Linked DNA regions of Caenorhabditis elegans. The protein of the gene in region 1 purifies or fractionates together with the protein of each later gene. This does not show direct contact. Each region holds a gene or a part of one and is shown on either strand. Other genes may lie near its edges.

Region 1 (5,552 bases):
CCTAAAATATGATTCCAGATGAATAGATCGTCGAAGTTTTCAATCTTATCTTTGTAGCTGCGCCATCCAGGTGTGAATATGGCGACAAGGGTCAGAATTAGGCCGAGAATCAGGAACAGACCGTAGCCACAGTGCGATTTGCGGACCATTTCTTAGACGGAAATCTTGAAATCGACAAAGTTTTGAGATATTTGAATATTGGAGAGGAGTTGAGAAAATTGGAAAATTGAAAAAAGGGAGTCCAAATTTCATAAATTGAGGCAGCACTCCCAAAATGGGAACTCTAATTTAATTACGGGGGGTACGGTACGGTGCGCCCTAAATTTTCTAATTACTTGTGACGATTTTCAACTACGAAAGAAATTCAGAAATTTAGACATTTATAAAAACGCGTTTTTTAAACTAAACCAAAATGATTTCAGGCTTCCACGTAGGCTTTAAAATAGTTTTTGAAGGGCTAAACCTAGATTTTCTAAATTCAGCGTATACGAATTACCCGTTTTCAACAAAATTAGACAACTTTTTATTTTTGCCCAAATTTTTTTCAGCCATCTAATGACTGTACATTTTTTTTGGCAAAACAAATAATTTTTCTACAAATGTTCAAAATTATTATGTTCTAAAAAAGAACAATTTTTTAAGGTTCAGAGATCAAATTTGAGTCCTCCAGCTTTAAAAATAACCATTTTAGAGGTGTTTCAAAATTGTGAATTTTTGCCACTTTTTAATAGTTTTTGATGGGTTAAACCTAGATTTTCTAAATTCAGCAAATACGAATTACCCGTTTTCAACAAATTTTGGCGATTTTCTATTTTTTCTCATTTTTTCAGCCATCTAATGACTTTCGTTTTTTTGGCAGAAATAATAATGTTTTGAAATTGTACAAAACCATTAGAAATCAAAAAAGGACAATTTTTTAGTGCTCGGAATCAATTTTGAGTCCTCTAACTACAACACTAACCATTTTAGAGGAGTTTCAAAAATTAAGTTATTCAGTGGAAAAAGTTTGAAATAGGAAAAGGTAGAAAGTTGTAAAACAATAGAAAACTGAAATACCCGGACGTTTCGTGAGATTTGTTGAGGTCCTGTTGCCATAACGGCTGGTAACCATAGGCTCTTCTTTACGGGAAGCTCATCAAATATTCAAAGTGAGCTGTGCTCTTTGAGCATTGCCTATTGTTCTTGGTTTGCCTAGCAACGTGGCAATGTTGTGGACCGGAGAGTTTCTAGTTGAAGAATCAAGAAAATGTTAGTAAGGAGGTATAAAATCTAAGATTGCTGGAGAATATTTAGTTTTTTTTAATGTAAAAATCGATAAAAATCGAATTTAATAGATTTAATAAAATTCACAAAATTGGAAGAAAGCTGAATTAACTTAAGAATCAAGTTCCTACTGGATTTCAGTTTTAACTTTAATATTTCGATAATAGTCATACGAGGTTTTTGAAATTTCATCAAAATTATTATTAAATCCAAAAAAATACGAAGAATCACAAAAATTGCATAGAATCGTTTAAAATCAAAAAAAAAACAAAGTTAATTTATTATCCATGTGGATCTGGCTTAATCTGGCGTGGCAACCCATATGGTGACATTCCTTTCTGTGATGCACATTTATTTGTACCATATTGCAATGGGATCACCATTTCACCCCTTCTCATCACTGCTTCCGGGAATTGACGTGGCGATGATTGGGCAAGCTTCACCACCCACGCTGGATGCTCCAAGTGAGAAGAACGGGATTGAGCGACGGCGGCGAGGAGACGCAGACATTCGATTACCTGGAACATTTGAATTAAGTAAAATTTAGTAATAAAGTAGTAAAAGATTTTAAATAACAATTTTCCTGTTTCAAAAAACAATTTCTAAATTTTTGTTAAATTTTTCATAGGGCCCGGGGGGCCCGCCAGCCCTTTCGGTATGGGGTGTGCTCGAAATAAATGAGGCCGCTACGATCAAAACTAAACGAGTTACGTCCACTTGACGTTTTGAATGATTTTTTGACATTTCTTAGAGTCGGAGGACCTGCGACCTTTTAACGGGATCGCCTACGGCCTGTTTTGCTTGGAATAAAACTAAAGGCGGCCCAAAGTTTTCATGAGTGATGGGCCAGAAAAAAAACTTGACCACATTGTCATATTCCAGATAGCTGAATTTGTTTTCAAACAATGTTTTAAATGTTCCAGTGTTTGAAGGTGCTATTCTATTACAGGTGACTCATTTTACAAAGTTAAATTTAACATTTTGTTCACAAAAAAACCTAAACATAAGCCTACACCTAGGTCAAAACCATAGCTTGAACCGAAGCCTGAACCTAAGCCTGAACCTAAGCCTCAGCCTAAGCCTAACATTCAACCAGCCAGGGCTAAGATTAAGAATACCTTGAACTCACCTTATAGCATTGTTTGTTCTCATACAAATCCACAGTCTGGAAACAGCTAATTTCCATAACACCAAATTGTTTGGCAGCTGCCAGGAAATTTGAAATATTTTCCATCTGCAATGAAAACTATTGTTTTATTTCAACTTTTAAGTACGTTTTCTATCAGCCAAAAAAAAATTAAAGAACATACCATTGGAAATGCCATTTTTGGTTTCTTATTATACACGACTCGACAACTGGGATCTAGTTTCTCAATCAGCTTGCATAGCATCACACCATCCTTGAGTAGATTACTGACGTCAGTTGATGATTCACAAGTGGTCACATCAAATGAGAACCTCTCTCCTGTTACATTCTCAATCCATTTTAGAACTTCGATTGCTTCCTCCAATACAAAACGGGCGTCGTTCTGAAAGTTTTGGCATTTTTTGGGGTAAATCTGAAAAAATATACCTTCTTCTGTAGTTCCCGACTCAGCCCATAGCTGGGACCATGATTGGCCATAACTTGTGACAAATTGGATCTGAAAACTTAAAACATTATTTTCTTAAGAGAAAAATCTAGAAAAAATGGGGAAGTAGCGGTTGACATAGATACAATTCATTTTAAAAACTACTCGAAAAATATAAAACTCAGATGTTTTGATTTTTCAGAGTAGTTGGTAGGTAGGTTTAAGCCTGAGAATAAGCCTAAGCCTAAGCCTAGCCCTAAACCTAAGTCTAAGCATAAGCATGAGCATAAGCCTAGGCCTTAACATAAGCCTAAGCCTAAACCTACATGTTTTTTGGGCAATTTAACCAAAGAAAATCATACAATCAATAATGAAATTTTGAGAGAAAAGATAAGATGAAATCGAAAATGCTTTCACCACCGCCGAAATGTATGAAATTTCTGGAAGAGTGGTTTCTACAAAGCGGCGGAAGGTGGGGGCGAGTGGAATTTCGGAAGACAGTGTGTGGATGGACATAATACACGTAAGTCTGCGTCTCTTCATATTTTCTCTATCTCTCAGCCGATATCGTTCTCTTATCGTATAAATGTTGTGATGAACGGCATCTTTTAAGGAAGGAATAAATGAACGGGGGATTTGGTTTGATTGGGGAAGAGAAGACATGATGAATATGTTAGGAGGAGAAGAAGATGTATACATTGAGATGGATAAAAAGTAGGTACTTAGAACAAAAAGAAATTGGCTTAAATGGTGGAATAGGACCAGTGGGAAAATGATTAAAAATCATTCCCATGGTATTAAAAATACAGAATATTATACAAAAACTGTTTTAAAATCAGGGTTAGGCGTAGGCTTAGGCTTAGGCTCAGGCTTAAACGCGGCATACCCACATACTTTGAAAAATCAAAACATCTAATTTTTTAGTAGATTTTAAGAATCTCACACAAAAAATAAACATTTTGGAAGTTTCTTAATTTCCAGTCAAAATGCGGTGCTCAAAATGTGGGCTTTTTTGAAGCTTGAAGATGAAAAAAATTCGAATACTGTGGGGGTTCGTCCGAAGTTTTTCGAAAATATTAAATTTTTGTTAAGCTTACTATTAGCAATTTACAAAAATGCAACTGAAGTATTACAAAAAAAATGTTTCAATACTTACAATGAAAATATTTTTTAAATTATTCAAATACTTTTGCGACAATTTTTTAAATGTAGACAGTTTTTTTTTTCAAACAGCTCTGTTATGAATTGAAACCTAGAAAATAGAAAAAAGTTGGAAAAACGAGTATGTACATATATGAGAAGAAATGAGAGAAGATGGCCAGGTAATTAAGGGATTATGGAAAGAGAGTAGTTTGTGGAGGAGACCTATGTGGGATTGTTAGGGCAATAAGAAATAATAAGAGAATCGAGATGAATGGTGGAAAGGACTAGAAGATTATAACTAAACGGTGGTGTTATTTGAACATTCTGCCAGAATTATAGGAAACGGCGGGGAATAGAAATTTTAACTAGAACTTGAAGTGAGAAGTTTGACAATTCCATAAAATTGAAATTTTTCAAAAAATTTGTATTATTTGGTTTGGTAAGAATTCTACGTTCTTTTCAGGGACATTACAATTTGACACAACAGCCCCCTTTCACAAAAGTTTGAAAATTTTACAAAAAAGTTCCTCGCAGCTGCATTGCAAACATTGCAAAAAATAGATTTTTGATGAAAATCTGAAAAATCTTGAAACTTTAAAAACCGCAAAACTAAAAAAAAGCTCCACAAATTTCAAAAATAGCTTCAAGCTTGTTCGTCTTGTTGAATAATCGTCTCCCGAACTAAAAAAAATATCGTACAGGGTGTCTAATCCGTTGCCCTGTCCCCAGCTTAATCATGTTTACAAATAGTCTTCTCCCCACCATGTTTACCTCCCTCCTATTTTTTGTAGCTTCTTCATTTTTGGAAGGAATAGAACAGAGACATTCTGACATTTGAAATATTATGACAACACTCGAAAAGGACACCAGACAATTAGTTGTAACATATTGACATTAACACGACATGAAACATTTGTAATGTTGAATTTATAGGTTTGTGGGAATTTCAGCATTTTTTGTTCTGAAATACTTGGGAGAATTTTCAAAAAAAATTTTTTTGTAACATTCTTTCAAAAAACAAGAAAAAATTCAAAAATTCAAAAATTTAGGTTTTTTTTTTCAAAGCGTCGGTTTCATTTGCCTACCAAATAATTTGATTTAGAAAACGCAAAAATCCAAAATAGGCCCCACCTATATCTTGGCTGCTTCTTGTGTGAAACATCTCGAATTTGAATTCTTGATCCCAGAAAAGAAAGAGTTCATAATCTATTTTCATATACTTTCTACGTCTAGAATATTCTGGCACACGTACTCCATATTCTGAAATTTCCCACGGGTTTCTCAGTAATTCTCTATACCTTTTTTTTCGGTTTATTTCTTATGAACTGATTTTCGAAATTTTTTATTTACTCAGTGGTAAATTATTTGTTTCTTAAATTAAAAAAAAAGAAAAAAACATTTAGGTTGGTTAGACAGATGCCAATGGTACAGAAGGCCGAGGCTTCAAACCTCCGATACCCCAATTTTTTTGTTGTTGTTTTATTTCAAGTTTATGAGTTTCTTCAATCCTAACACATTTTTTTAGCCAAATCAAGCCAAAATTGATGTCAAAATAACGGATTTTTACTAATACTG
Region 2 (3,583 bases), on another chromosome or scaffold:
TTGGAAACTTTTGGTCAAACTTAGACAACCTACTGTAAAATTCTGGGATTTTTCTCTCAAACCTTGACAACTTACTCACTCTCGGAAGTTACAAAGGTTCGACAGAAAACTGCCGAAATTGGACAGAAAGTTGTCAAAGGTGCGTTGCCAAAATTTGGCACGAAGTTTTCTTTAAATAAAAAGCCAAAGACATCACAAAAAAATTGGGAATCAAATAATTTGTTATTGAGATTAGATTAATTCATATCGAAACTGAAAACATAATAAAGCTTCTGTTTTCAATAAGACGTTTTATATTTATTATACTATTACCATTAGTTAGCCAATTCAAAATAAACTAACCCCCAACAAAAACACATCCAAGATAAACCTGAACATCAGTTGGAATACCTAATATTAAAGAGAATCCAAGAGGATATCCTGAACTGACAGGTAGTGTTAGCATTGGAGATGCAATAAAGCTTAGATATAAATCGACGATTGCTCCCACAATGTGCAATAAGACCATGTTGAACTTTACAGAACATATTTTGCGCGGAGTTTTAGTTAAAATAATATATGCTCCGAACAATTGAACGGTCACTTCGATGGCTGTAGGTACGTGAAGAATTCCAGCATAGAACTCATCAGTCGCAAATAAATTAATATCCTCGGTGCACATTTTGAGGTATTGAGGTAATAAAGTAAATCACGGAGAGAAATTAAAAAGGGATAAAAGCTCATAATTTAGCTAGGAAACGTTTTCACCTGTTCTAAAACTGATCACTCAATAGGATAAGCTTTTCGCGTCTGAGATCTTTTGCACATGTTCTTTGGTAGTTTCCATCTAAACCCATTCAAACATATGAGATCAAAAGTTAGTAAATACTTTAAGCAAATTTCCAACAAAAAAATTCCAAAAATTTCCAAATGTTCGAGATATTGAAAATTGATAACCTCATTAAAAGTTTGGGCACAATTTTTAAATTTTCAGTCGCACTATTTGTAGTTTTTAACAATTTGGTTGATGCATTAATTGATTTATTAAGTGAAAAGCAGCTGAAAACAAACCACACAAAAATGTTTTTTCCTGGTTCTGAGATCTTTTGAATTAAGAAATAACACCTGACCCATTTGGGTCAAATGATTTTTCGTAATTTTCAAAATTGTCTTAACTTGATAAATGTTTTCCACTGTCTATAAAATTGATAATGGATTCAGTCTGTTCGGAAAAAGATTTATATTTTACTTGAAAAGGAACAAATCGTGTGAAGATCAAAAGTGATGATCAAAAGTTTTCCTTGAATTTTATCGCGATTCCCATAATTTTTGCTTCTGGTCGTTGACAAGGAAGACAGTTTAAAAATCTAAGAAATTACAATAAATATTTAACATTTATTTCAGCTTTCAAGAAAAAACCTCGAACAATATCAATTAGTAGGAATTTGTTTCAAAGGGAAGAGTATTAATTTCAAATTAATGAGCAGCCTGAGCACATTCGCAGTTGGCACACTTGCATCCTCCGGCACATCCAGATTTGCAGCATTTCTTCTCACTGGCAGTTGGGCAGCAGTATTGCTCACAGCACTTGGCGTCGGAGCAATCGCAATCTTTAGTTCCGGTGTTGCAGGAACAATTTTGGTTTTTGCAGTCTGGGAAAGGGGGTTTCATTCAAAATTAATTAAAAGCGTAATGAAATTTCAACTTACCACACTTGCAGACCATTTTTGAGTAGAGCCTTTGAAGCTTGATTCTCATGTCTGCTGGTAGGCCTTTTATATAAATTTTCAAGCGACAACCTATTTGAGGCAGCTGATAACAGCACAAGCCTATCACAATGTACAGTCACTGATAAAAGCTTTGAAAACTTCATTCAAATTTATCCAATTCTTCTGAACTTTATGAAGCAGTAAGTACATTGCGTGCACAATTATTTGGATTTTTGAAAATAAAATTTGATAGATTTTGAGCTATATTCTGAGAAGTTGAATTTTCCGTCACAACTCTAGTTTGTGATAGAGGCCTTTATCAGTTAGGTGTGTGAAGTCATGCCTCAAACATACTTGGTCACCTGCAGTACATAAAATTTCAGGTACAAACAAGATTACGGTAATTACTAGCTTTTCCTTGAAAATTAGAAATGAAACATGTAATTTTCCAACTACTGTACTTTTTAGAATAAAGTAGTCTCTGATCTACTCAGCTTCAGCTCATTAGCTATTCCATCAATTATTCTCACTTCCATGGTTACATCCCACGTTTGTTTCGTTCCACTGAACCATTTTCGTCTCTTTTTGTATTCTCTATGGGACAAAAAAGTTCCAGAACCGCTCCAGAACATGTAGAAGGTTTGAAATATTATTTAATTTAGAAAAGAAAACTGAGATTTCAGAAGATAGACATAGCGCCTGGGGAAGTGATATTGATGAAACATTATGTGGCCCAGGAACTCTTTGTGCAGGTTTGTAATTTTATTGTTTAACTTATGTTTAACCGTAATTAAAAAATTACCAATGTCAAATAATACTACACCGGTAAAGCGGGGTCCCCAAAAACAACCCTTCTGCGGCTGACTGATGAATAGGCTATTTCGGGCCAGCGGGCAAACTTCGAGGCTTGCTATTTTAATCCTGAAACAATTCCAGGCAGAAAACAAGAAAAAATTCTTCCTCCTTTTAGACACTATCGTGATATCCTGCCTTACCCGTAAAAGTGATTCAATTTTAAAATTTCAGACGACTGGACCCCATTCAACTCTGTGCCAACAAGCCCTGATTCTGTCAGAAGGCGCTTTAGTGAAGCTCGTCTTCAGGAAGATGTTATTACAGAGCAGCCAAGATTATTTGACAATCATTCTCGTGAACAAGATGACGATAGAATGATGAATTACGAAGTGATGACTATTCGGGAAGTTGAATCACCGATTATTCTACCTGGTCCAATTTACACAACGGAAACACATAAGAAGAAAAGAAAAGTGAAGAAACAGCCAAAGCGAATAGTTAGAAGAAAAATGAGAAAGCAAAGAAATACTTCAACTTCTCGAAATACTCAAAATAACGAGGATGTTACTGTATTAAGAAACTTTAATAGTATAAAGCACCATCAAAAACCCAGAAACATTGCATATCGTCCAAGACATCACTCCAGAAAAATTCGGTGAGCTCTGACACTCATTACACAACCATTTAAAATTTTTCAGAGTACATCAAGACCCACGTTATCCAACAATTCCTCCACCTACTATCAACTATGGTCTTAAATTCAGGAGGTGCCATCCGGATGATGTAAGTTTTGTGGATTTTATAGGCTAAATAATTCAAAATTTTCCAGAAAAATCGATTTGTAAAAGCAGTGCCACCGAGTCATCTGAAAGGAAAGTCAATATCCGCAAAACAACCATTTAGATATCGGGGAATCCCAAAAATTATAATGTGATTCCTGCTTTAATTTTTGAAAGTTGTATAATCAATTAAAGAATTTGAGAGCTCAAAAAATACCTTTTTACTTTTATAAAAGAAGAACAAATGAATATTTTATATGTAGTCACGTATAGATAGTAACACAAAATTAACGAATTTAATAACTAAATCTGAAATATAGA
Region 3 (4,496 bases), on another chromosome or scaffold:
GACTGGAATCGACTTTGTGGACAATATTTCGATGGTGAAGTACTTTCGCCCAGGTTATCTCGAGAAAATCCGCATGTATTCTTGTTATTGCTCAGCTAGCCAGGAGATGAGTGAAGAAATTGCAAATCTCGAGCAGTGGAAGCAAGCGAAACATTTTCTGTGCATTGGTGGTAGAATGAACATTCCTATTCAAAGATTTTTCCACTTTGACCAGTTCTCCATCGGTCTTCAGACTCTATCAATCGATGATGCTGTTCAGATAAGAGATGTGAGTTGGTAGTTAAAGTAGCGTTTTGTAATGTATTCTATATTCCAGATTCTCCTCAGATCGCCCAGCTTCGAGTCAGCAACTATCGATGTTCAACTACTTGAAAAAGAAGCCATTGAGAACGTCTTTACGCCGAATCACCTATTAATTTATAGAGGAAGAGAGTTCAGACCGGTGGGAACTGATTCCAGTTTTGTGATCAATATAACAAAAAACAAGCTTGAAATCCACAAGCACAAGGGAGCTAATCCACCACGTCGTAGAGACGAACGGCCAATCCACGAGCGTATACGTCAAAGGCAAGATGGATGGTGAAGTTTCAATGGTTGCTCTAATACGTTTACATGTCTATCAAACCTTTTTCTGTTACTTAAGTAAATCGTTGTTTCATATTTAACCAGTCTTACCTACGGCTGGCATATCGGACGTCCGGCGTCAGAACCTTGTGCGTCTGGTTTTAGATGTTTGAAAATTTTGGAAAATTATTAAAGTCTATTGATAACCTGTCAAAACCGGACGACCGGACGCCAAATATGACAGCCCTAGTCTTACCAGTATAATATTTTTATAAACCTAAAACAGGTATGAATATCTCTTTTTTCTGCGCAGCGCTGGGATGCTTCTGTTTCAGAAAAATCACATGGTATAAAAAATTTCCAAATTACAGTAGTCCTACCGTAATCCTGCATTATCCCACTACTGTATGTACCTTGACATTATTTTTCCTCGCCCAACTCCCAGCCCAATATATCTCTTCAACAGCTAAGAACTACATTTTTCCTAAACTACAGTAAACCAACAGTATCCCTACAGTACCACATTAATTATAAATTAAAACATTATTTTTCATAAGAAATCGTGAGAATTTCGAGAAAAATAAAGGATTCAAAGATTATTTGAACGTTTTTTTCGTGAAAAAATGTCAAAGAAATCAAAATGTTCATCTTCCTTGTGAAAAATCCGAAAAGCCATTATAAACTAGTTGATTTTCATAAAAATTTGTAGAAATATTTTTCTTAAAATTTGTAGAAGAATTTTAACGTTTTTTAAACAAAAATTCCAAAATTGGAATTTGGTATTGAAAATACTTTTTAAAAGTTATTTTTTTAATTTGTAAAAATTTAACTAAATTCAAAAAATAAAGTTTCCCTCCTTTTTTTCTTAAAGGCACACACATTTATCGACTCGGGTCTCGCCGCGAACAGACGCGACGCGACGCGGTTAGGAATGCGGCGCGTCGCGTGTAACCCTTTTCTCTGTGGTTTTCGAGAGCATTCTCTCTCGGTTTTCGTCACAAAAAGGTATGTTTTACAGGTTTTCCGCGCACTGTTTTCGCGTAATTCTTCATTTTAATTCAGATAATCTAATTGTTGTGTAGTTTTAGCTCGAATTTATCCGTAATCTTTGATTAAATACGAATAAAACTCGCTAAAATAGTCTTATTTCTCAGATATTTATCGATTTGTTATTTTCCACGAATAGTCTACTCGTGCATGGCGTCTATATTTAACTTAATAATCTATTTTTAGATTTATCTTTACTCTAACTTGTACCTATTTCAGTGATCAACACCTCTGTCACTCTTTGTGAGTAATAGCGTTCGATAGGTAGTTACACCGTGAAACTAGCCTGTCTATTTCCTACTTCATAAGCTAAGAACTACTTGTTAGCACAATCCGATCGACTACTAAGAACTAGATCATGACGGACGTGGAAATCAAGGCTGAGGTTACGTTTGTTCACTTGCTTTTAGGGTGTAGGCCACCTGATTTGGGTCCCGATCATTTAATTATCGATTTTATTTTCAGAATGGAAGCGGAGATGCCTCGCTCGAGCCAGAGAACCTTCGAAAGATTTTCGTTGGAGGACTCACGTCAAACACCACCGATGACCTGATGCGAGAGTTCTACTCACAATTCGGAGAAATCACTGATATCATCGTCATGAGAGATCCAACTACCAAGAGATCCCGCGGATTCGGATTTGTCACCTTCTCTGGCAAAACTGAAGTCGATGCTGCCATGAAACAACGCCCGCACATCATCGACGGAAAGACCGTGGACCCGAAGCGTGCCGTGCCACGTGATGATAAGAACCGCTCCGAGTCGAATGTCTCCACCAAACGCCTGTACGTCAGCGGAGTTCGTGAGGATCACACCGAGGACATGCTCACCGAGTATTTCACAAAGTATGGAACCGTCACCAAATCCGAGATTATTCTCGACAAAGCCACCCAAAAGCCAAGAGGCTTCGGATTCGTCACCTTCGATGATCATGACTCTGTGGATCAATGCGTTCTTCAAAAATCCCATATGGTCAACGGACACAGATGTGACGTGCGCAAAGGACTCTCCAAGGACGAGATGAGCAAGGCTCAGATGAACCGCGATCGTGAAACCCGTGGCGGAAGATCTCGCGATGGACAGCGTGGCGGTTACAATGGCGGTGGTGGTGGCGGCGGCGGCTGGGGAGGACCAGCTCAACGCGGCGGTCCAGGAGCATATGGTGGACCAGGAGGTGGCGGCCAAGGAGGATATGGCGGAGGTAGTTGGATTCTGGCTTGTGAATTCTCGATTCTAATATTATTAACTTTCAGATTACGGCGGTGGCTGGGGACAGCAAGGAGGCGGCGGTCAAGGCGGATGGGGAGGCCCACAACAGCAGCAAGGAGGTGGTGGCTGGGGACAGCAAGGCGGCGGCGGTCAAGGCGGATGGGGAGGACCACAGCAACAGCAGCAAGGAGGCTGGGGAGGTCCTCAACAAGGAGGCGGCGGCGGTGGCTGGGGAGGCCAAGGCCAGCAGCAAGGCGGCTGGGGAGGTCAATCCGGTGCTCAGCAGTGGGCTCATGCTCAAGGAGGAAACAGAAACTATTAAATTAATTCCTTAAGCCCCTCTAAGTGTCCAACGTGTCTGAGCTTCCCGTGCTCTCTCCTCTGTATCGATCTTCTCAACCATTTTTGCTCTGCTATCTCATCAAAATCTTCTGTACTTTTTCTTGTTGCCTTTCTCCAGAAAGTTTCGTTTATTATTCAATTTTTTACCCTGTCTTTTTTATATAATTTATTTCTAAATTCGCACAGTTGACATCCATTCAACTAGAGAATGAATGCAGAGTTTGACACCAAATTGGCTTAATTTTCAAGCTGTTTTTAACCAAAATAATAAAAAAGTCTCAACTTTACAAAAATGTTTATCTGGATCTGGACGACAGCGAGCTGAGAAATTGATATATTTTCAGAGTAAAAACTAAAAATGTCTGGAATTTTTGGAGTCATTGTCTCAGGGAGGACGCCGATCGAAGTGGTGCCGGTCTCCGATACGGAGTTCACCTGCGAAATTGTAAACGCTGACGCGATAAACCACGTGGTGGTCTTCCTTACCGGAGCTCAACCGTTTCCGGACGGAATTGGTGGCTCTGGTGATCATTTTCAGAATTTTCCGCCCAAAAAAACCCAATTTATTTCAGTTTACATCAGATGGCCCACCCAAGACGGCGGAAATTGGCATTATTTGGGATTTATTTGCAACGAGAAGCCCAGCGCGATTTATAAAGTTGCTCAGGTGTGCATTTTTGATGGAAAAATGAAAGAAAACCACCGAAATTTCGATGTTTCTCTGTCGATTTTTTTTATTTAAAAACTTAGAAATACTCTCAATTTCGCATTTTTCACCAAAAAAAAGAATCTCAACTGGTTTTTCACATAGCTTAATTTTTGAAGAAAAATCTCAACAAAACCCAGTTTTAAGTTTCAAATTCTCAAAAATTGATCTTTTTTTTCCCTTAAAAATCCAGTTTTTAGCTCCAAATTGTCATAATTTTCCAGAAAAATTTAGTTTTCGAGCTAACAACATTAAAATTTCACAGAAAATCTGAATTTCAGCCTTAGAGATCCAAATTTTTCGGCTGAAAATCACAATTTTTCCATTTTTCAGCTCCACAAATCCGACGCTTCTCACTCGTTTTCCCAATTTGACAATCAAATGCAACTATATTCCAGTGGATCAGCTCAAATTGGAATTAATGCTGAAAGTTTATCTGATATCACTGGACGGCAGGCAGCTGATGGGACACAGGCTAGCCAGCAGGTGAAAAATCTTGAAAAAAATACTTAAAACCCTGAAAAATCATGGAAAATGGCCTGAAAAGCTGGAAAAATGCGATTTTTGCCTACTTTTTCAATGAAAAATCAAAAAAAATACGAATTTGAACTAACTTTCGCTCTGAAAT

The links. Proteins that work in one complex are often made in the same cells at the same time.
Region 2: the proteins of cpn-2 (region 1) and mtl-2 fractionate together in Caenorhabditis elegans (co-fractionation; one large-scale study listed by BioGRID). This does not show direct contact.
Region 3: the proteins of cpn-2 (region 1) and hrpa-1 fractionate together in Caenorhabditis elegans (co-fractionation; one large-scale study listed by BioGRID). This does not show direct contact.

The regions. Positions count from the first base shown.
Region 1 is NC_003280.10:335,136-340,687, reverse strand, and holds cpn-2 (Transgelin), read right to left. Parts: upstream 2,907-5,552; 5' UTR 2,888-2,906; coding exon 2,837-2,887; intron 2,793-2,836; coding exon 2,574-2,792; intron 2,498-2,573; coding exon 2,393-2,497; intron 1,782-2,392; coding exon 1,545-1,781; 3' UTR 1,443-1,544; downstream 1-1,442. Other genes in the region: clc-31 (Claudin family protein), read right to left, coding at 1-149.
Region 2 is NC_003283.11:14,016,916-14,020,498, forward strand, and holds mtl-2 (Metallothionein-2), read right to left. Parts: upstream 1,759-3,583; 5' UTR 1,705-1,758; coding exon 1,689-1,704; intron 1,632-1,688; coding exon 1,456-1,631; 3' UTR 1,355-1,455; downstream 1-1,354. Other genes in the region: srh-308 (Serpentine Receptor, class H), read right to left, coding at 343-661; T08G5.1 (Titin), read left to right, coding at 2,285-2,327, 2,372-2,440, 2,715-3,138, 3,182-3,266, 3,313-3,417. UniProt on the Caenorhabditis elegans protein: This protein binds cations of several transition elements.
Region 3 is NC_003282.8:3,335,879-3,340,374, reverse strand, and holds hrpa-1 (Heterogeneous nuclear ribonucleoprotein A1), read left to right. Parts: upstream 1-1,529; 5' UTR 1,530-1,569; intron 1,570-1,830; 5' UTR 1,831-1,969; coding exon 1,970-1,996; intron 1,997-2,076; coding exon 2,077-2,815; intron 2,816-2,864; coding exon 2,865-3,142; downstream 3,143-4,496. Other genes in the region: F42A6.6 (Hikeshi-like domain-containing protein), read left to right, coding at 3,521-3,829, 4,202-4,354. UniProt on the Caenorhabditis elegans protein: This protein is a component of ribonucleosomes. Overexpression gradually increases telomere length, leading to increase lifespan.